Linked DNA regions of Bombyx mori. The protein of the gene in region 1 binds, or shares a complex with, the protein of each later gene. Links are inferred from orthologs where the notes say so. Each region holds a gene or a part of one and is shown in the gene's direction. Other genes may lie near its edges.

Region 1 (11,845 bases):
TCCCTTTCAGTGTATTAGCCATTAAGCTGCTTAGTGGATCAGCGAAAACGCCTTTCAAAGCCCATTGAATTTCTCGTTGGATCTTCTCAGTAGGTTGCGATTCCGATGAGGTGGTATATTGAAGCACTGCCCTTGCTAGAGATGTGCAAATTCGCCAGAATGAGCCCTGTTAGCTCGCCTACACCGTTCAATAACCCCTCGAGGTTACCAGGGTAGGTAACAAAAGCCCTTCAATAGCTTTCCTTATGATTTGGAGCAATTAGATGACTGATGACCGTCCTCCATGACCGGTAATTTCTTGAGGGCACTAGGAAACAGACGCCGAATGAGACCGTTGGTTTGCACGAACCAGTGCAGCAACTCATCTGCTCTTTTGTCAAGTTTATCTCAATAAGCGGATCGGAACTGTTTTGGAAATATTCGCGTGTAGCTATTTAGTAATATCGACAGTCCACAGGTCTTGAAACGGAAGTAATAACCGTTGATACCGGGAATACCGTTGTCAACATGCGGCTTTTATCGAGTCACACATTGACAATGTTTATAATATAGTATAATAAAAACATACCACGCTCATAAAGCACTAAAAATGGGAAGGTCTGTTCCACGAATGCCAATATCAGTGCTAATGGTTGTTGACTCGTGTCAACTGGACGTGTTTCTAACGACAAATGGGTTAAAATACCAAATTTCATGAGATTACTTAAAGCTTAAACACATTCTTAAATTGTCAAGCATGGTATTTTAACATTATGTATTTTTTTAATATTCACGTCTCAGATAAAAAGTAACTATAATAATTTGGGATCTCTTTCAACTACGCCACCAAAAAAGAGTAATGCACTACTGATTTACTGATGGTAGGACCTCTTGTGAATCCGCGCGGGTCGGTACCACCACCCTGCCTGTTTCGCCGTGAAGTGTTGAATGAGTTTCGGTTTGAAGGGTGGGGCAGCCGTTGTAACTATACTGAGACCTTAGAACTTATATCTCAAGATGGGTAGCGCATTTACGTTGTAGATGTCTATGGGCTCCAGTGACCACTTAACACCAGGTGGGCTGTGAGATCGTCCACCCATCTAAGCAATAAAAAATAAAAAAGAATTACCTTGGGTTTTTATTTTTTACTTATTTATTTATTTATAACTTTATATACTAGACAGTCTAAAGGCGGACTTAATGCCATAGGCATTCTCTGACGGTCTACCTTAGGGGGGTGCAGAGATGAACCTTGGTAGGTGTAGTGTGATAATGATATTACTTAAGCATATGTGTATATACTATTTATAGATACAAATACTCGTACTTAAATAAATACATATACATAAATATATACATATAAAAATATATATAAATAAATATTATCAATTAGATGACTATCAATTAGAAATAAAGATTCTTTAAATAAATATTATCAATTAGATGACTTTATCAATTAGAAATAAAGATTATTTTTCTTCCTACGATCTAGATTTTGTTTTGTTAATTTATCTATTAACTGCCGCAGCTCCGCCACGAGCTGGACCGAGTGGTGAGTGAACGCGACCGTCTCCTGACGGAAAGTTCGGAGCTTGGCGCCGACAAAGCGACGCGCGAGTCCGAACGCGCCGCCCTAAGAGCCGAGCTGCGGGAGGCGCGGCGGCGAGAGCAGCGGCAGCTCAGCGACATCACCGACCTGGAGGATGAGAACATCTCGCTACAGAAGCAAGTCTCAGCACTGAGGTCGTCGCAGGTCAGTACTCGGCACACGACGGCGACACGTTGTAATGTTGTATTCCATCTATACTTCTATACTAATATTATAAAGAGGAAAGATTTGTTTGTTTGTATTGAATAGGCTCCGAAACTACTGAACCGATTTGAAAAATTCTTCCACTGTTTGGAAGCTACACTATTCCCGAGTGAAATAACGGCTAAAATCTTTTTTGAAAAATATTAGGGATCCTTACTAAAACTCCAATAATGTAACCCAAGGTGTAAAAAAATTACCTAAAATATTCTTTACATCCCATGCCCTGCGAAAACTATTGATGATAGAATAAAATAATGTACTACGGCTTTGTAGAACACATTATTATTTACAAAAAGTGTCGCAACATCATATGTCTAACTATTATAGCTATACCGCAATATGTGTTCTTTTATTTAAAAAAAAACAACGTCAAATATCGTTGAAATTTTTGTTAAAGACGCGAGCGGAGCTGGAGTGGGCCGCTAGTGCTTAATAATCATCTTAATCCTAGTTTACAATTATGAAGAAGCCTATGTTTCTGGGTGGTCCGCATTATTAGGGTGACATACGAGATTACACCTATTAATTATGTTATATACTAAATGCTATGCTAATACTATGCTATAATATATAAGTATACACACTTCAATGTATCCCGATGCTGCTTTCGTTAGATGTTGCACTCGATACTACAACTTTATGTCCGCAAGTCCGAGCGTATTTGATCGCTTCGTTGGTCAAGCGGCTTCTTCAACCTCGTAAATAATATATTCAGTAGTGGTGTTCTTGTTTCGTATATAAAGGTTTCCGGAACCCCCAAGAAAATCCAAAATCGGGAATGCTACTACATATGGCTTGTTAATTATTTTGATTACTACCTGGTCCTGTTTCTGACGAGTGGAAAATATCAAATCTGTACTTGGAGTTTGGGGGGAGGGACGCGGTTCGCTAATTCGCGGCTTCCTACCTAAGCTGATAGCCTTGAGAGGCTATTTCAGCGTAACCTTAACTAGTAGGTGAGCTCACGGGGCTCAAACCGGAGTGATGCTAACACTGACCCTAGCAGGAGCAGTGCTTCGCAGAATCTACCACCGGATCGGAAACGCGACCCACTGAGAAGATCCGGCTAGTAACTCAGTGGGCTGGGTTTCACTAGCCAAGCATCCTCGCACCTCAATCCGTATGCGTTAATACAGAAAAAGTTATCACTTTATCGTGTTATCTGATTGCACCAGGTGGAATTCGAAGGATTGAAATATGAAGCTCGTCAACTCCGCGAGGAGGCGGAGGCGGCCCGCGCGACCGCCGAGGAGACGGCGGCCCTGCGGCGCATCGCCGAGCGGCAGCTGGCCGAGGCGCTGGAGGCGCTGCAGGCTGAGAGGGAAGCCAAGTTCGCCGCCAAGAAGGAGCTGGACGCGCACCTCAGCAAGGAGGCGGCGTACAACATTACGAACCTCGCCTACACTATCCGAGGTAAGAAGACAACAACAATAGATGTTGTTTTTTTAAAGTGAAACTTCTTTAGAATCGTTGTGATTTCAAACTCGATGAAACGAAAAAGTAAGTCCATAGAGACACAAACACGTAAATGTATAGGATTCAGCCGGCGAGAGAATGAGATAGAACACATTAGACGTTCTCAGTGTAGTGTTTTTTTTAATACAGCGCCATCTATGAGATTTTTTAATACTAACGTGTGTATGAAACCTCTTGTAGTGAATCTTAATTTAGGATTATACGTGAAGTTAAAATATCAATTCACAGAGGGCGCTACCTCATACTATAAAAAATGATTTACAATTATTTACTAATGACAAAATTTTATATGTACTTAGACATTTACGATAATTCTATTTTAATTTTGTTGCTTAGATGGGTGGACGATCTCACAACCCACCTGGTTTTAAGTGGTTACTGGATCTCATAGACATCTACGACGTAAATGCGCCACCCACCTTGAGATATCAGTTCTAAGGTCTCAATATAGTTACAAACCGAAACGCATTACTGCTTCACGGCAGAAATAGGCAGGGCGGTGGTACCTACCCAAGCGGATTATAATTTTGCGGGTTTGATTTTTATTACACGACGTTACTCCTTCACCGTGGAAGTCAATCGTGAACATTTGTCGAGTACGTATTTCATTAGAAAAATTGGTACCCGTCTGAGATTCGAACACCGGTGCATCGCTCAACACGAATGCACCGGACGTCTTATCCTTTAGGCCACGACGAAATCCAAACTGTTTGTTGCATAAAGAGTTATACCGGGCTCTACCATTAGAGCTGAAGCCGAGGGAAGCTTGCGGCATTGATGTGACTCAGTTATGAATATATATTATAATTTGCGTAATTACTGGTGGTAGGACCTCTTGTGAGTCCGCGCCGTAGGTACCACCGCCCTGCCCGTTTCCGCTGTGAAGCAGTAATGCGTTTCGGTTTGAAGGGTGGGGCAGCCGTTGTAACTGTGTTGGGATCTTGAAACTTATGTCTCAGGGTGGGTAGCGCATTTACGTTGTGGATGTTCATGGGCTCCAATAACCACTTAACACCAGGTGGGCTGTGAGCTCGTCCACCCATCTAAGCAATATAGCTGCTCTTGCTGTTGGCAGGTATGCCCGAGGACGGCACGGAGGACGAGAGCGAGCCCGGCGGCTCATCCTCGGCGGAGCTGGCCACCGCCATGGCGGACCACCACGCCGACTTATTCTCGGAAGTGCATCTGCACGAAATATCGCGACTCGAAAAACAATTAGAACAAGCCCACAGCGAAAACGTATGTCGTTTTATGAATACGCTTTTATTAACTTCAGACGTATGTATTATAATAATATGTTTGTAACGGAATCTATGAACATGATTTTGACCCCCTTCAAAACGCCGGATTAACTCGAAATTTGGTATACTTATTAAGGATCGATGATAATTCAATTCAAAAAAAAATTAAATTCAACTAAAAAATAAATAATAGTTTAAAAAAACTAACAATATACGCTTTTATAGAAAATCTAACTAAAAAATAGTAAATAAATTTTAATAAATTTAAATTAAAAATTGTAAAAAATCGTGGGGTAACGCGTAACTACTATACCACGCACCCCACACTTTTCTTATAATAAAATCATTTTTTCTTACACTATATTTTTAATTCAAATTTATTAAAATTTATTTTATATTTTTTAGTTGGATTTTTTATACAAGCGTATTTTGTTAGTTTTTTTGAACTATTAATGATTTATTCTTAAACTATAAAGAGCAATGTACAGCGGCCGTGTGCAATACATTGCTGGCTCATTCAATTCTAGATTGACACCTACGATACAAGTAGCCTGTATTACATTAATATTGTATTGAAGGGGTTAAATAATTACCATCATTTACAAATAAAATTTAAAATTAAAAAGACTGATATGCGCTTCAATTTCACGCAAGACAGAGAGAGCACGGTCGATGATGACGTCAAACGTGTGGCTGTCAAACTATTTAGTTGGTCGTATTAAATAACTTTTTATTTATTTATTACCTAATTTTAGAAAATTAGTGGCGAATACTGACTCAGTAATCCTCATGGATACATTGTATTGAGAATGATAGTAATAATGGCGTAGTAATTAATATAAAAAATAGGTACAGAGAAGAACGAAGAGAATTTGCTATTTATTTTGCACATTAATGGCGATGACGTCATTTTTGTTATTTAACGACTACCTTCAAAAGTAGATTTGACAGTTTTCTTTGAATAGTATAAATGGTCAGAATAGTGATGAGCGGTGTGGTGTGTTCGCAGAGCCAGGTGTCGGCGGCGTCCCGCGCGGCGCAGGCGGCGGCGGAGGCGGCGGGCGCGGCGGCCGAGGCGCTCCGCACGGGCGCCACGCGCGCGCTCGCCCGCACGCACGCGCTCGTCAAGCTGCACCGCGACTGCGCGCCGCCCGCGGTAACACCACGCCCTTACTGCTATACATACACTAGGAGCACACGCTCGAATATATCACAATTCTCAACCTTTTCAAATGGGACTTTTTGGCGGGAACGAAGTTGTGTGAATTATTTTATTTTGTTTATTTAGTGTTTCTTCAGGTTTAAATGTGTAATAATGGTGGTTTATTAACTGTTTAGTATCTGTGAAAGTGCACAAATCATCACATCTCGTTTGATTTATTTTCAGTTTTTTATTATTCTAAACTGAAAATAAATAAAAAGACGAAACATAAAAATCTTATTACTTGACGCTGGCTAATGCAGAAACTGTGTCAAACCAAAATATAATAAAAAATAACTTTTCAAATAAACAATTGAAATTGTAATCACATCTAATATATTACACGATCATTATAAACATAAAATTTATTTAAAATTATGATTGGGGCTAAAAAATATACTAATCAAAAACTGACAAACGTTAATGAAATGTGTTGATTTTCCAGGAGGAGGACGGCAAGAGTCGCGCCGGCGCGTGGTTGTCGTGGTGGCGCGTGTCTGGCGGCGAGCTGGAGTCCCTGTGCAGTTCGCTGTCCGAGCTGCTGGCGGCCGCCGCCCCCACGGAGTCGGGCGCCGCCCTGCAGAGGCACGCGCTGGCAGAGCTCGCCGACCGGGTGGCGGAGGCCGAGCTCAGGGCGCAGCACCTCACCGCCGAAACCGACCTGCTCCGGACCCTCGCTGGAGGTGAATACACCCAGAGAACCCAGGGACGCGGTCTAGATTCTGCAACAGAACGATTAAATCCAATTCTGACGTCACATCTACAATCAACTTCAATTCGATTACTGGTACCCTGCCTATTTCTGCCGTGAAGCAGTAATGCGTTTCGGTTTGAAGGGTGGGGCAGCCGTTGTAACTATACTGAGATCTTAGAACTCGTGTCTCGAGGTGTGTGACGGCGGTTACATTGTAGATGTCTATGGGCTTTAGTAACCATTTAACAGCAGGTGAACCGTAAACTCCTTCTAAATAATATTGTATATCGAAGCCGATTGACTCTGGAGCTGTTCTGAGGCCAGCCCCCCCGGCTGTGTAGGAGCACAGTATCAGCATTGTTGAAGTGAAACTTCTTTAGAATCGTTGTGATTTCAAACTCGATGAAACGAAAAAATAAGTCCATAGAGACACAAACACATAAATGTATAGGATTCAGTCGGCGAGAGAATGAGATAGAACACATTAGATGTTCTCAGTGTAGTGTTTTTTTTAATACAGCGCCATCTATGAGATTTTTTAATACTAACGTGTGTATGAAACCTCTTGTAGTGAATATTAATTTAGGATTCTACGTGAAGTTAAAATATCAGTTCACAGAAAGCGCTACCTCATACTATAAAAGATGATTTATAATTATTATTTACTAATGACAAAATTTTACATATACATACTTAGACATTTAGGATAGTTGTATTTTAATTTTTAAAGCTTTCACTTCTACCGCGTGTGATTTGGACAAATGTTTTTTTGCCCGTTGCAGGAGCGGGCCGCGCGCTGTCCACGGCGGCGCCCGCGCTGCAGTCGGCGGCGGAGTCCCTCGCGCAGATCTACCACCACGTGTGCGCCGTCAACGGCACCCAGCCGGAGCGCCTGCTGCTCGAGCACGCAGACGGTCAGTGCGCGTGACGTCACTTGTTGCCAACAGACATGACCAATGTTATTTCATCATTTCATCATCATTATCCTGCCCTTTTCCCAGTCACCTGGGGTCGGCGCAACATGTTTTCTCCTTCCATACTCTTCGATCATATACCATTTCTTCGCTCACTCCCCTCCTACCCATATCGTCTTTCACACAATCCATCCATTTCTTCTTAGGTCTACCTCTTCCTCTAAATCCTTCCACATTCATAGTTAACACTCTCTTAACAACCTCATTTTCATTTCGTCTCATCACATGTCCATACCATCCCAAACGTGCACTCCTCAGCTTCTCTATCACAGGTGCCACTTTCAGACTTCCTCTAACATATTCATTCCGTATTCTATCCATTCTCGTTACTCCACACATCCATCGCAACATTCGCATCTCTGCTGCATGCAATCGCCTTTCATCCGCCACTTTCGTTGTCCAACAAGCTGATCCATACAAGACGGCAGGCCTTATTAAGGTCTTATATATCTTCCCTTTTAGGGGAAGAGGGATGTGCGAGTCACATATTTATGCATTCGAATATATCATGCATTATTTATGCATGATATATTCGAAGAATAACCACATATGACGTCATGGACTTTGTTTGCTCAAGTTGACGTGAAAATATTATATATCGTCTTTTCGCATTAAAGTGCACAATTTCCTAAAATATTCCAAATTATGTTAATATGCGGAATCATTTCGATGCCTCCAATGAACACTACTCTAACTCAAAATTTGGAAATTCTCGTTTTTCACGCAGATCGTTTCACTATTTTAAAAGTATTAGAAATTCATTATTAATGGGGTTCGAAGCAAGAGTAAATCAACTAGTTACACAAGAAAAAACCATAAAATCTTTATTATTGCAGATATATTTATCAACTTTTTTCGTTTAAACTCTCCTCTTGTAAACTTACGAATTTGGAGTTAGAGTAGTGTTCATTGAAGGCATCGATTTGGTATCCCCAGTATTTTTCTCATAAATATTGTCAAGAGAGCGTACTTTAGTTTTTTTTTTTAGTTTACCTATGCTTTGACTAGTATTAACAAAATTAATACATAATTTTATCTTACTGTAAAAGACAGATAATGTAACTGGTAAAAAATTAAAAATAAAAGTTGCAAAGGGGATTAATATTAAAAATGTTACATGTTAAACCTTTAAAACACTCTCTTGTACAATTAGTAAATTTTGAGATTATACAGTTTTAATGCGATAACAGTTAACTGTTTGAGCAACAATATTTACATAGGCATGTTGGTTGGTGTGCAGGTCGCGAGGCCAAGTCCGGCGTGACGGAGGCGGAGGCGGAGGCGCTGTCGCTGGCGGAGGGGCCGCTGGAGGGGCTGCGCGCGGCCGGCTCCGTGGCCCGCGCCGCCGACACCCTGCTGGACCAGCTCGACCACCTGCGCGCCGCACTCGACACCGCGCTCGGCGCCAGGAGCCGCCAGCCGCGCAGTCAGTACCCACCCCCGCCCCGGGGTGTCCAACCACGCACCTTACATGCGTCTTCTTGTTTTTACCATCGCACCGCCCGCCACCGGAGTAGGGTCCATCCATACTACCTGGAGCCACTGCGGTCATCCACAGTGCGTTTCCAGAGGTATTTTTTGCCACGTACCATTCGGCTATGGAATGAACTCCCCTCCACGGTGTTTCCCGAGCGTTATGACATGTCCTTCTTCAAATGAGGCTTGTGGAGAGTATTAAGCGGTAGGCAGCGGCTTGGCTCTGCCCCTGGCATCGCTGAAGTCCATGGGCGACGGTAACCACTCACCATTAGGTGGGCCGTGTGCACGTCTGCCTACAAGGGCAATAAAACAAAACTTTGCTCTTAACACGTTGACTGCCGTGTAGGTCACCGATGCCCTACGTGGCACACTGAAGCAACTATGTCGATTTCTCTTTGTTTTTCTTACGTATATTCAGTAGACTAGGAAAGACGAATCCGAAGATACTGACAATGAATCTATTTCTAAGATACCTAAAAGACTAAAACATACATTATCAAACAAAAGAAGGCAAAGTTAAGCAATCTAGGCGCTAAGTAACAGAAATCGACATAATCACTTGAGTACGCCGCGTAGGACACCGGTGACCTACATGGCAGTGTATGGGTTAATAATCTTACCGGTGGTAGGACCTCTTGTGAGTCCGCACGGGTAGGTACAACCACCCTGCCTATTCCTGCCGTGAAACAGTAATGCGTTTTGGTTTGAAGGGTGGACAGCTGTTGTAACTATACTGAGACCTTAGAACTTATACCTCAAGGTGGGTGGCGCATTTACGTTGTAGATGTCTATGGGCTCCAGTAACTACTTAACGCCAGGTAGGCTGTGAGCTCGTCCACCCATCTAAGCAATAAAAAAAATATCGACAGGTCCCGTAGCTTCGATTTGTGAAAATCGTTCAAAAAAAGCAAAAGATATTGCCAACATAAAAATAAAAATGGCTGACGAAAGAAAAAAAAGTAATACAAACGTAACTCAATTAATCTGTAACGGAAGGAACGTTAAAGAGCTTACCGATTATTTTGAAAATATCACCGGTCTCCAATCGAACAGAAATTATATCGATACAGCGTTGAAACGTGCGAACTACAAAATCGATTCTAGTTTGAAGCATTCGAATAATTGCTTCGCACAATATAATGCCAAAAAATACGATACTAAATTTAATGGCAAAAGAAAACAGTTTCCCATAGCGAAGTCGCAAATCTCGAATCCAAATTTATCTCAATATCGAAATAAAAATCTCAGTTTGTACTCGATATGGAAAGATAAATTGTACAAGAGAGCATCTTTAGACGATGAGATCGATATTAAGAAAAGCGATCCTAAATCGTACAACTTGAAAGCATTTGTGAAATCGACTGTACTGACGTGCGTTTACGTGCTGCAATACATTCTGTGATCCCGAGCTCGTCCCGCGAAGTATAGTCCGTCAGATGCGGCGTGGCGCCCGGGACAGTTGTCGGCGGGACGTCATTAGGAAATAGGTTTGATATAACAAACCATCTGTCAAACGTATCACGCTGTAGTTAACGAACTATAACTATATAGTGTATTTAGATTTTTAATACGCTTTTATTAGCTTCAGACGTATGTATGTTTGTAACGGAATCTATGAACATGATTTTGACCCCCTTCAAAACGTCGGATTAACTCGAAATTTGGTATACTTATTAAGGACCGATGACAATACAATATTAGAAAAAAATTAAAAAAATTGATATTCAACTAATGAATGAAAAATATATAATAGTTTTAAAATACTAACAAAGCACGCTTTTATAGAAAATCCAACTAAAAAAACAGAAAATAAATTTTAATAAATTTGAATTAAAAATAATATAAGAAAAATGATTTTATTGTAAAAAAGCGTGGGGTGCATGGTATAAGTAGTTATAAATATTTTATAAACAGACATGAGCAGAAGGGTTATTTTGATAATATCCTGAAAAGCACCTCACGCTTTTTTACAATAAAATAATTTTTCTTACACTATTTTTAATTCAAATTTATTAAAATTTATTTTCTATTTTTTAGTTGGATTTTCTATAAAAGCGTGCTTTGTTAGTTTTCTTAAACTATTATTTAAGATAAATTGGGTTGCATCTAAGCAATGTTCTAGTTAGTTAGTGGACAGTTTACAGCTGTAGTGATTGTGTAGTAGAATTATCGATAAAGAAAATAAGACTGACTCGTTGGTGCAATAGTTAACGGCCTTGACTGTCGCGTCGAAGGACGTGGGTTCGATTCCCGCACCGGGAAAACGTTCGTGTGAAGAGCAAATTTGTTTGCTCATTATCTGGGTGCTTATTATCTAACGTCGTCGACTAATTTAGAAGTCGTCGTGGCCTAAAGGATAAGACGTCCGGTGCATTCGTGTTGAAGCGATGTAACGGTGTTCGAATCCCGCAGGCGGGTACCAATGTGGGTGTTTTGTTCCTAGGTATTTATTATTATTTGAAGAATTTTAATAAGGTTCATTTCACCCACTCGTCATTGTTGGGTTTTGAAGATTATATCTCCACGCCCTCACTAGTAACCAAAGATAATACGTGTCTGTGTGTCGTTAACTGCGTGCGGGCCCCGGCAGTCATGTCCCGCAACCCCTTAACTTGTTCTTCACACTGCCCTTCATTCACTCATGTTCATTCTTCATTCGTTCATTCAGTCGTAGAACCTTGTAGATTTTGATCTGAAAAATGAGCACCTACTGCCCATTCTTTATCTCTGTCGTCGCAAAGTGTGCAGTGCCTCGCGTCGCAATGCACACGCCAGGTGTAGTCCACAGCAGTCCGGGCCGAGTCGCCAGCCAGTTCCCCTTATTGAACTGGTGATTTACTGGTGGTAGGACCTCTTGTGAGTCTGCGCGGGTAGGTACCACCGCCCCGCCTATTTCTGCCGTGAAGCAACAATGCGTTTCGGTTTGAAGGGTGGGGCAGCCGTTGTAACTATATTGAGACCTTAGAACTTATATCTCAAGGTGGGTGG
Region 2 (11,845 bases), on another chromosome or scaffold:
TTTTTATTGCTTACAACACATTTATCGACTTACACAGAATTCGTCTTTTTCTGTATCGTTCTCTCATTACTGAGGATCGCGACCACGCGTATGTAAGTCTTTCCATGAAAATCGGTCCGCTACTAGGTGGACCGAATGTTTATACTAGGATCCACTGCTGAATTAGTAGCAATTTTGTCTAAATATAAACTGGTGGTAGGACCTCTTGTGAGTCCGCATGGGTAGGTACCACCGCCCTGCCTATTTCTGCCGTGAAGCAGTAATGCGTTTCGGTTTGAAGGGTGGGGCAGCCGTTGTAACTATACTGAGATCTTAGAACTTATATCTCAAGGTGGGTGGCGCATTTACGTTGTAGATGTCCATGGGCTCCAGTAACCACTTAACACCAGGTGGGCTGTGAGCACGTCCATCCATCTAAGCAATAAATAAAAAAAACTGCGATCGTTAACCGCCATTTACTAGTGGTAGAACGTATTGTGAGCCGGTGTATTTTACGGTAGGCAGCGGCTTGGCTCTGCCCCTGGAATTGCTGACGCCCATGGGCGAGAGTGACCACTCACCATCAGGTGGGCCGTATGCTCGTTTACCTATAAGTGCAATAGCAAAAAAATTTAGCACGAATCTTTATTGCCATCCTGCTATGCTATTTGTGCCGCAAGGCTTTGAAGGGTGAAACGGCGATATGCAATTCTTCTCAGTCGTGTGCACTTTTGTCAGAGTGGTCGTAGTCATCATTTCGGGTGCGCTTCACCAGACTTAGCCATTTCTCGCGTACCGCAGCCCCTTCTTGTGCACTCGTTGACGGGATCGTTTAGAGCTGCCTTTATTTGGTCGGTCCATCGTAACGGTGATCTGTCGCACGGTCCTGTACCCTCTATCATGCCCTGCACCACAAGACCCTCAACTGAGTCGTCGAGTTGAAATTGAAATCTCTAAAATGGCGGCGTTTACGTTGTGACGTCCGTAAAGTCCGAGCACGATTTATGGTCAGATGGTAGGACCTGAGCTCATTTACGCATTAACAGCATTGGGAAAAAACAAGGAAATAGATATTTCGATATCATTGAAGATGATGATAATTCGAAATTCTAATAGGCATTGTTTTTGCAGTCGTATATTTCAATTACAATAGAATATGAGAAATTCGGTTTCAACATTGTTACCTTCCACTATTAAATCTTCCAAGTGGAAAGTACTTGAAAAAGTCCTATAGAACTTAAAATGATGTTTCAATAAAAACTAGCTTAGACATTATCAAATTGACTAAGCAGTAACGTACATACTAAGTATTTAAAAAAAAATACGTTGACTTTATACACAATATGTTTAATTTGATTGGCTACGTTTAATTTTGACTTTGAAACAATATCATCAAAGATTTAACCCGATAGCCCAACCCTTCACTTAAAGACTCAATGATAAAATCAAAGATACTTGCTTAGTTACCGATACAATAATACGTATATATCGGTTTTTAGCATCCAAATGGGTTTTCGAATACCGATTATACTAGTCTATTTTAGCTCTCGACGAAAGAAGTCCAACGCACTCTTTTTATTAGCAGAATCATTATCGTACCTCATTAAATCATTATTGTCGGTCGATATCGGTTCAAATGACGTGCTTGTTTCCGTTCGTGTGTTACGATTCAATTCAATAAATACCATTCGTTGTGTTTTTGCATCAGTTATGATTTCATTTCGCACACAATGGCTTAATGTATTTGTGAATTCTTTAATGTTTATTCGTAAAAACGTCTGCGAAATATTAATATAATGTGATATTTATAATTTTACTGGTGGTAGGATCACTTGTGAGTCCGCGCGGATAGGTACCACCGCCCTGCCTATTTCTGCCGTGAAGCAGTAATGCGTTTCGGTTTGAAGGGTGGGGCAGCCGTTGTAACTATACTTGAGACCTTAAAACTTATATCTCAAGGTGGGTGGCACGTCTACGTTAGATGTCTATGGGCTCCAGTAACCACTTAACACCAGGTGGGCTGTGAGCTCGTCTACCCAGCTATGCAATAAAAAAAAATTGAAAAAAAAAAAAATTGAGTAATAAATTTCACTTTGACACGATTATCTATTGACATTCATGACCCAAAGTCTGTCTGAACGCAGGTTTTAATGATGAGAATAGTTTGTTTTATGATGAGATGATGAGAATACTCTTAGGTTAGATAAATAAAAAATGCAGTATAAATGAGTCGTCTATTATCAAAGGTGGCAATCTGTGCATTTGGACAAAAAAAAATTATTGATATGTCAATACAGATTGATTTGAATATAATCGTCTCCTTCAAAGAATACGGTTCAAAACCTGCATTAAATAAAGGTTAATAGTTAACCTGTTATTTATCTAAGATGTCGTTCCGAAGAGTTTTGTGACTGCCAATGGAATACAAAGTCAATAATTCGTTTTTCTGATTTACCAATAATTATCCAAAAGTCAGATTGCCGGCTTTGATAATAGTCGACTCAAATAATGAACGCTCTTGATCGAACTAAATCAAATTTTTTATCAGTACCTAACAAAACGTAAAGAAAAAAAATACGGCATTTCATTTATTCTAAGGAAACTAGCTACAATCTTATCAGTTAAGATAATAATCATTTCAATTACAGTCACACTAAGGAGTTCCGTACAAGGTTAGGTTTGTCTTCCGTTAGCTTCTGTTCTTCCAACTTCAAGGTTATCTTATTTTAGAGGCTCACAAACTTAAAAAAGCCATGTTAGCCTAAATTCCAACTATTGGTAAGTAACAGCCGGCGCTCACAAAGTTTGGCAATGCTAGGGTTAGTCAAAGTGCGTAACGCGTGCATGCTTTAATATCTATATCTATACTAATATTATAAAGAGGAAAGATTTGTTTGTTTGTTTGTTTCGAATAGGCTCCGAAACTACTGGACCGATTTGAAATTCTTTTTCCATTAGAAGCCGACATTGTCCCTGATGAACATAGGCAACTTTTTTTTTTAATTTTTTTTTTTTTGTTTCATTTGTGTTTTAATGTTTCCGAAGCGAAGCAAGGGCGGGTCGCGAGTAAGAGATAATAGTGTAAAATTTTCGAAGAATTACATTATCATAGTGATTTTTTTTATCTTAACTAAGTTACAACTATTGGAATTTCGAATCGTCGAAGTGAGGTCACTACTACTATTTCGGGTTCTTATCATTAAACAAAATGACAAGAAAACATGAGCAATTTATTATTATAAAAAGCAGTGGAATTTCCATAATTAAGAAACGGGTGAATTCAATCGTACAATTTATACCATAATTATAGATAAAAAATGAATGTGAACTTAAAATGATAAATAAATCTATAATTTTGCAAACGATTGATATAGTGTAAAAATGCTTGTAATTGAATCCGACGTCGCTTGAATACAGATTCATCACAAAATTATCCAGTTCGTATGCATGATGATACTTCAGTCATCATTCCCGATCCTGCGGAAAGAATGGAAAGCAGTCGACGTCGCCCAAAACACGTCATCTCGGATCCTCCCGATCCACAACGGTGCTTTTAGGTACTTCAAGCACCGGTCACCGTTCTCTTCGAACCCGTCGCTTGCGACGAAGGGCTCGACGAGTAAATTAACCCTCAGACACAGCCCACTGAGTTTCTCGCCGGATCTTCTCAGTGGGTCGGGTTTCCGATCCGGTGGTAGATTCTGCGAAGCACGGCTCTTGCTAGGGTTCGTGTTAGCAACGTCGTCAGGTTTGAGGCCCGTGAGCTCACCTACTAGTTAAGGTTACGCTGGAATAGCCTCTCAAGGCTACCAGCTTAGGTAGGAAAAAAAAGCTTCAGAGTCATAAAGTTGAGGTTCACGCTTTAATTGCGTTTCACATAGTCAGCCCCCATTGCAATATGTTTAATTGAATGTTATTTTTGGTTTTCATGCGGAGAGAAACATTCTATTTTATATTGTCAATACCGTGAGCGTTGGATCATCCCCCCTCCGCAGCATATTGTTTGTCTTACAACAACAACTCGGGTTCAACTAAAGTCGACAGCCCTAGTACAATAACTGGACTGTTAACGTAGGAAATGTACCGTGAAAGTTATTTTCTCAGGCGGTCCCAGATCAGCCCGCGCCACTATGCGAACGCACGAAACCACTTTCGCTCTATCCCAATACCGCGACGGATATTTTAGTATCGATATTTTCGTAATTATAAGTTTTAGTTGAACAGATAATTCTCACATAGAATATTATATTGATTTAAAACCATTTGTTTGTCTTTTCCACGCACTATTAAATGATGATGAACAAAATAATACTGTTAATTTCTAAACTGCTATATGTGAAAACACGTAGTACGATACTAGACACGTAGAAGTCTTCGTGGCCTAACGGACAAGACGTCCGGTGTATTCGTGTTGAGCGATACACCGGTGTTCGAATCTCAGGTGGGTACCAATTTTTCTAATGAAATACGTACTCAACAAATGTTCACGATTGACTTCCACGGTGAAGGAATAACATCGTGTAATAAAAATGAAACCCGTAAAAATTATAATTTGCGTAAGCACTGGTGGTAGGACTTCTTGTGAGTTCGTACGAACAGGTACCACCGCCCCGCCTTTTTCTGCCGTTAAGCAGTCATGCGTTTCGGCTTGAAGGGTGGGACAGCCGTTGTAACTAACTATACTTGAGACCTTAGAACTTATATCTCAAGGTGGGTGGCGCATTTACGTTGTGGATGTCTATGGGCTTCAGTAACCACTTAACACCAGGTGGGCTGTGAGCTCGGCCACCCATCTAAGCAATAAAAAAAACACATATAATAACATTAATTGATTGGAACTTGCTTGTGGGAGTATACGACAAAGAGAAGATCTTCCACCGAGCTGGTGATATTTTTCGGTAGACCGACGGTCCAATATTTTTGTTCGGAACTTGTATACGAGTATAATGTGGAAATTTTCTCTTGAAAATATTGTAAGCGAAATTCAGGTATCTGTCAAATATCTTGTGTTGTATGATACTAAAGCTACCGCCACTTTGCTTAAGAATGAAACAACTAAATATTACTTCGATACCAAATTTACGAAGAGATCATCGTTACAAAAAGAAAATGTAAAAAAAAAGAATCACACTGTATTTAACTGAATAGTTCTTAAGAAATGATTACTAAACGATGTTTTTAATGACAACCTCTTATGTATTATTTCATTTCAGACTATTTCAAAGCGCAAATATTATGCAAGTCTCCTTTTATTTCATTATTGACTATATACAATTATGTATCGGCAGAATGCAATGACGTAATCTCGGCCCCCACGTAAATGTAGCGGCTGGTTTCTAAAATAAACATGTTTGTCCACTGTGTCGATGTCCTTCCTTGGTCGACAAACAAAAGCTTTGGAAACATGTCACAAAAAATAATTAAAAATGATCTAATACAATATCGTACAAATACATCCTTGGAAGATATAATAATAGACATAAAGATAGATTAAATCTATAGTTCGTATGTAGCCAAGTCTTCCTCTTCTCCCTCTTCTTTTCTGGAGGCGCCGGAGTCCGACATAATCCGGTCTGTAACCCCCTTCGACCGGGTATGCGTAAACATATGCCCCAGCGTTAAAAAAAAGTTTGTATGTAGTAACTAAACACTATGTAAATTTCTTCTTAATCCCATAGTGTAGCATGAAAATGTCAATTTAGATAAATTGTTTTAATACAATTTAATCTAGCATTTATTCATAATTTAAAACAATATCTTTTTTGTGGATTTTGTTATCACATTATTTACATTTTATTCGTCTGGTAGGCAACCTTGCTTTTATTTTGACGAAACTAAACAAGTTGTTCATAATATTTGCATTACGTTGTCCTTTATATCACAGGTGATGATCTCATCTATATGTCAATAAAGAATTAGGTAGTTAAAAATGTTAACTCATCGTAACAAGTATTTACATTCGTTTTATAAAACACATTTATAATTATTGACTTACTTTTGAAATTGTGAAAATGCCGGAGAGAAAATTTACGGCGATAAAAGTTAACCTTAACCTATAGTGTAACTATACTGAGACATTAGAACTATATCTCAAGGTGGGTGGCGCATTTACGTTGTAGATGTCTATGGGCTCCAGTAACCACTTAACACCAGGTGGGCTGTGAGCTCGTCCACCCATCTAAGCAATAAACCTTTTATATTATAGTTTTCAAATGTGCGTGCAGGATTCGTCGTAAAATTTTTATTATTGACGATTTGTTTAGGTCTAGTGCGTAGCGTCTGAAACTCGGATCCGGGTTAGTGTAATGAATGATGCGATTAAGAATTAATAGCTCGGTTTATTAAATGCTCTAATTAATGTGTCTCTTAATAAAATTGCACTACCAAATTATCTTAGTTAAAAAAACACGCAATAAGTACCTCCTCAAAAATATTGTGCTCTTATGAATGAATACTGACATATTCAGAAACATATTCTAGGTCGGGTGATTTGTAATTATCATGTTTTTTTGTTACTACCTATATAAGTCAAGTTATATTAATTAATGTAACGCAAAATAAGTCAATATTAATAGATGTTTACTGTCGGTTTTATGGCAAAAACTTTTTTGCATTCATTGTTTTGTGTTGACGTCATACAAATGTTTTTTATTCTAAACATCCGTTTCATACGTTGTGTTTGTAGATCGTGAACAAGTTATTGTTGCTTAATGTAAACGTACTAAATAACTCCTTAATTGAGTAGTTTAAAAAAATAATCGATTATTTTCTTACAGGAACAAAGCGATTGCCGATTATCTAGGCAGTAACGGTTACAATGACGCGCTGGAAGCGTTCAAGAAAGAAGCCGACATGACCGGCGAGATGGATCGCAAGTTCGGTGGCCTCTTGGAGAAGAAATGGACCTCCGTCATCAGACTTCAGAAAAAGGTTTTTCTTTATATATGTCGTAAACAGAAAAAACAGTCTATATGATCATAATTTATTTGATATTACATACATTTAAAATTAATACATAGTACATACAGACTGTATGAGAGAGGGGGAACTTCGAATCTATAGATACTTTACACCGGAGGTCAGTCGTTGGCAGCAGGGCGTACTGACTACCCCAACCAACTTCACTGCGGCGCAGAATGCAAACCACTGCGCTAGTTTTCCCAAGTAATCCTATAAAAGTGGACCGAGTACAGAATGAGACTGTATGCGATCCGGCTACCATCCGGCGCCATGTCGAGTCCAGGTCACACGGTGTGAAATATGTTACTGGCCACCCTGCTGCGGCTCACCGTGTTTAGGGACACGACCTTCAGTAATGAAGAAAGCGACGAAGAAGACATTTAAAATTAAATTTTTTTTTCTTCATTCTGAATATTTGGTTGCTGGTACATGGAAGTGATCTGCAAAACTCTCAGTCGGCAGTATCTAGGTCGTGACGTTTTCTAGGGCGGACGGTCGATGCCAGGGAGTTCGACCATTCCTCTCGATGAATTGCTTATTAGTCTGACACGACTTACCTATCGACTATCACTATACGAATAGTAATTCGAACGCGTTTCAAGGCGATAGAAGACTTATTAATAATAATAATTGGTTGCACTCTTATGAGAATTTTCAAGTAATTTCAATGTAAATGTACCGTGTATACAATCCTTGTAATTACGTACAGGTTTCTTTGTGATTCAAAACTTGAGACATTACCCTTTGTCGGGACATGTTAAACATCTATAAAATTATTCGAGTTAAAGCAGATGTTCCAATACAGCTGCAGTCAGTATTTCTAAGTAATTAAGGACTATACAAACTCAGTGCGGTTCGTAGCTTTGAAGAGTATGTAGGTTTTTTTTTAAAATCATAAACGAGCACACGCAATATGTAACATTGTTGTAATGTTTGTATAAGGTTATGGAACTGGAATCTAAATTGTCGGAGGCTCAGAAGGAATTCATCGAGGGTGCTCCAACGCGAGCTAAGCGCACTCCAACAGAATGGATTCCGCGTCCACCCGAGAAGTTTTGTCTCACTGGACACAGGGCCACTATTACTAAGGTAATAAATACATTGCACACAAACATAAACTACACTAACAATCTATATATTAATACGTGAAGCAAAAACTTTGTATCCCTTTTTACGAAAATTGCGCGGACGGAGGAGTATGAAATTTTCTACACTTATAGAGAATATAGAGAAGTGCACAATGCTAATATTTTTTTAAAATAATGCCTATAAGATACAATAAATCAATAAAGAAAACATTACACACACTACATAATATGTATTTGACGCACACACGCATGCATACTATTTATTGTCAAACTTTTGTTTTTGACGTATGTTGTCAAATTGAGAATAGATTAAATATTGTTTGGTTTTTGTTAATATTTTTATAGTGTAGTTTTGGCGAAATTTGTGATTATCGAAGTATAAAATACACACATAATAGTGTACAAACTTACAATCCCAATTAATTATAGTCGAATTTCGACTACTGCGGGACCTCTAGTGAAATTAAATTTGCAAACAAAACAAGCACGTCCGTTCTAAATTCACGTAAAACGAACAACAAGAAACTGGAAAGTTGTGTCTTGGTAATTATTATTGGTTTAGTTACCTTTGAACTTTTACTTCAAACCATTGAGGTCGCATCTGAAAAAACCAACCAATACATAATTTAATGAAGATAAAATAGTCATACGTCAACGCAGAAATATTTTTAATGAAAGAGGAAATGAAGTGCCTTTGTGTGTTCATGTTTAAAAAACCACTTTTTTTGAGGCTCTCTTTGGCCGTAGATTGTCATAAGAGCTCAGTAATTATCTGGTCTTAAGTAGTAAACAAAGACCGTCGAATATAAAATCGAAGTCTCGATTATCTTTTAATAATACAAATTGACCATTGTGTACAAACTCAACACATTTGTTTTGCCTAGACGTGCGCACATACATGGCTTATGTTGCAAGCCAGTGTTTTTTTTACTTGTTGTTATTTTTTGTGTATCCTTTTAGCTTGTAATAATGTGTATTGTATGCTTAAAAAATAATTTTATAAAAAAAAAATATTGTCCATAAAATTTTCATATTGGATCACACAAGACTACTTACCGTGCGCCCTAGCCAATGGTTATTATGCAAATATCTTAGATTTGATTTGATGGTATTCCTTCGCTGTGGAAGTGGTCCGTGAAAACATATTCTGGTACTAGGGCGTCGTGTGAATCCGAATGGGTAGGTAGGTACCTCCACTCCGCCTATACCTGCCGCGAAGCAGTATTGCTTTCCACCCTACAGGGTGGGGCAACAGTGGTACTACAGGATTGGGTCTTTGAACTAATGCCCGAAAATGGGAGGCGGCATTTAAGATGTTCATGTCTGTTAAGCATTCAACACCAAGTATGTTATGAGCTTGTTCAGTCGTGTAACTATAAAGACATATTTATGAACAAAAATATTAATGTATTTACGGTACGGACAGTAAGTACCTGCTAAAGAATTTGACCTATGCCATAGTAGTTTCGTTTGGGACGGGGTTGTTGTTGCCGGGTCTCTTACTCAGTACATCATCGATGCATATAAATAAACTATAATTCAACATTAATCTTTAGTTAATCTAGTCTAGTTCTAATCTAAAACATGAGTCTATTTCTAAATCTTTTTTTCAATATTTCGTCCGATTTTCACGAGTCTTAAACAAATTCAATCTATTACAGTTTCATGAAGTTTATTGTGATTTTAAACTTATGGAATGCTTTGTTTGCTAAATACTATATACATTTTTCGTAATACTTTATTTGGTAAATGTTACTTAAAACATTAAAAACGTAAACACTTAAAATATCGCGATATTAAACTTAAAAAATTATCTCACACTATAATTTAGTTTCATAAAAATATCATGAAATTGCATTAATGGACTAGACAAATTTGTAACTTTCTAGTGTAATGAAAGTTTTGAGCACGAGTCTTGTACGAGTTTTGCTGTAGGGACTAGATGTTATTGTTTAGCTTTTTGCTGTCAGTTTCCCCTGTCGTTTCCAGACAATCGTATCTAGTACGCTTTCTATGATGTATACGAATGATGAAACCGTTGAGTGCATGTTTGATTATTGCACGCACGCGTTTTTAATGTAAATTTGCAATTTTTTAATTAGATTTTTAGACTGGTGGTAGGACCTCTTGTGATTCCGCGCGGGTAGGTACCACCACCCTACCTATTTCTGCCATGAAGCAGTAATGAGTTTCAGTTTGAAGGGTTGGGCAGCCGTTGTAACTATACTAAGATCTTAGAACTTATATCTCAAGGTGGGTGGCGCATTTACGTTGCAGATGTCTATGGGCTCCAGTAACCACTTAACACCAGATGGGCTGTGAGCTCGTCCACCCATCTAAGCAATAAAAAAAAATGTTTTTTTTTTTTAAAACTACGTATGTGATTGTTATAATAGTGTGAACAAAACAAAATTGCAGGTAATATTTCACCCCGTGTTCAGCTTGATGGTGTCCTCGAGCGAGGACGCAACCATAAAAGTTTGGGACTTTGAGAGCGGCGAGTACGAACGAACATTGAAGGGTCACACCGACTCCGTACAGGACATTGCATTCGACCACCATGGAAAATTACTTGGTATGTATAATAATTACATTCTCATTAGTTTCAGCATCGTCAGCCTATAGCAGTCCACTGCTGGACATAAGCTTCTCCAATTGCTCGTCACTGAGCATGATCCTCAGCATCTCTCATCCAGCTGCTGCCAGCCATCCTGCACAGATCATCACTCCACCGAGCCTGAAGGCGTCCTGCACTGTGTTTGCCAATTCGCGGTCTCCACTCATTAGTTTTATCCAAACCTCAAAAGGCAGAGGCAATGCGCTTAGAGTCGAACATCTGTCTCATCTCTCTGCATAATAACTGCTGGTCCCGTTAATTAGGCAGTAAAAAGATCGGTGCGAATCTGTTTAAACTAAATAATGCAGTAGCATAGTGAACCATCAGGTGCACAGAGTAAAGACGTATTCTTTACATCTTCTAAAACTATATTTGATTATAAGGCTTTTGCATAATCAAGTCACACGACGAGACGGTCCTACCACGATCAATATATCAGTTTCCGTTCTTTCTTTCGTTGTGACATGTTACTGGTAACCTATAGTACGTACCAGTTCGAGTTACTCAGGACACTGATCAGTCTCAAAGAGAAACAGGAGTCCCGCGTTAAAACGCTAACGCCCCCAATATGATGCTGCCTTATTATTTGTACTATTGTGTTAGATTTTTCGCTGAATTGCATTAGTTTTATGTGTAACATAGGGGACATATACCCCACTTTTAAGATAAATAAAAAATCGAGGTTAACTTTTAATCGGAATGAAATTGAGGGACTTTTTGGCGGAAAAGCGAGGAGTGAAATTGTGTGATTAGTTTTATTTTATCTATTCAGTGTTTCTTTAGGTTTAAATTTGTAATAACGGTGGCTTATTAACTGTTTTCATGAAGGTGTACAAATTTGTGAAAATAAAACAAAGCCGCTGGAAACTTCTTGGGATCCTCCAAAAAGTCTCAGTAAATGACCACCATTTTACTGAGATTATATTTCATCCCATATCATCTCATTTAATTTCATTTCATGCCATTGTTTTATATTAATCAACTTCATTTCACTTCATATTAACAGTTTTTATATAGTGCAGTTTTCATTAAAATTACAATAAGGTTTGACCCAAAGGTCTTAGTTACCAGGTCATAAAATCCCTTAAAAGAAAGAAATTGGACTGACTATAAAAACGTTTTCCATTTCAGTGTCTTGCAGCGCCGACATGTCGATCAAGCTGTGGGATTTCAATCAGACGTTCGAGTGCATCAAGACTAT

Evidence for each region.
Region 2: protein bicaudal D (region 1) and lissencephaly-1 homolog share a complex: the UniProt entries of both Caenorhabditis elegans proteins name them as parts of the dynein-regulating complex. The link is inferred for Bombyx mori from reciprocal best matches to the Caenorhabditis elegans genes bicd-1 and lis-1.

Annotation. Positions count from the first base shown.
Region 1 is NC_085125.1:2,126,728-2,138,572, forward strand, and holds part of protein bicaudal D, read left to right. Parts: intron 1-1,507; coding exon 1,508-1,732; intron 1,733-2,967; coding exon 2,968-3,205; intron 3,206-4,343; coding exon 4,344-4,507; intron 4,508-5,518; coding exon 5,519-5,665; intron 5,666-6,155; coding exon 6,156-6,393; intron 6,394-7,186; coding exon 7,187-7,318; intron 7,319-8,618; coding exon 8,619-8,804; intron 8,805-9,726; exon of another isoform or gene 9,727-10,344; intron 10,345-11,845. UniProt on the Caenorhabditis elegans protein: Part of a complex with dlc-1 and egal-1, which is recruited to the nuclear envelope by unc-83, where in turn, it recruits dynein to the nuclear surface and regulates nuclear migration in hypodermal precursor cells.
Region 2 is NC_085114.1:11,230,965-11,242,809, forward strand, and holds part of lissencephaly-1 homolog, read left to right. Parts: intron 1-6,755; coding exon 6,756-6,909; intron 6,910-7,881; coding exon 7,882-8,028; intron 8,029-10,445; coding exon 10,446-10,602; intron 10,603-11,775; coding exon 11,776-11,845. UniProt on the Caenorhabditis elegans protein: Positively regulates the activity of the minus-end directed microtubule motor protein dynein. May enhance dynein-mediated microtubule sliding by targeting dynein to the microtubule plus end.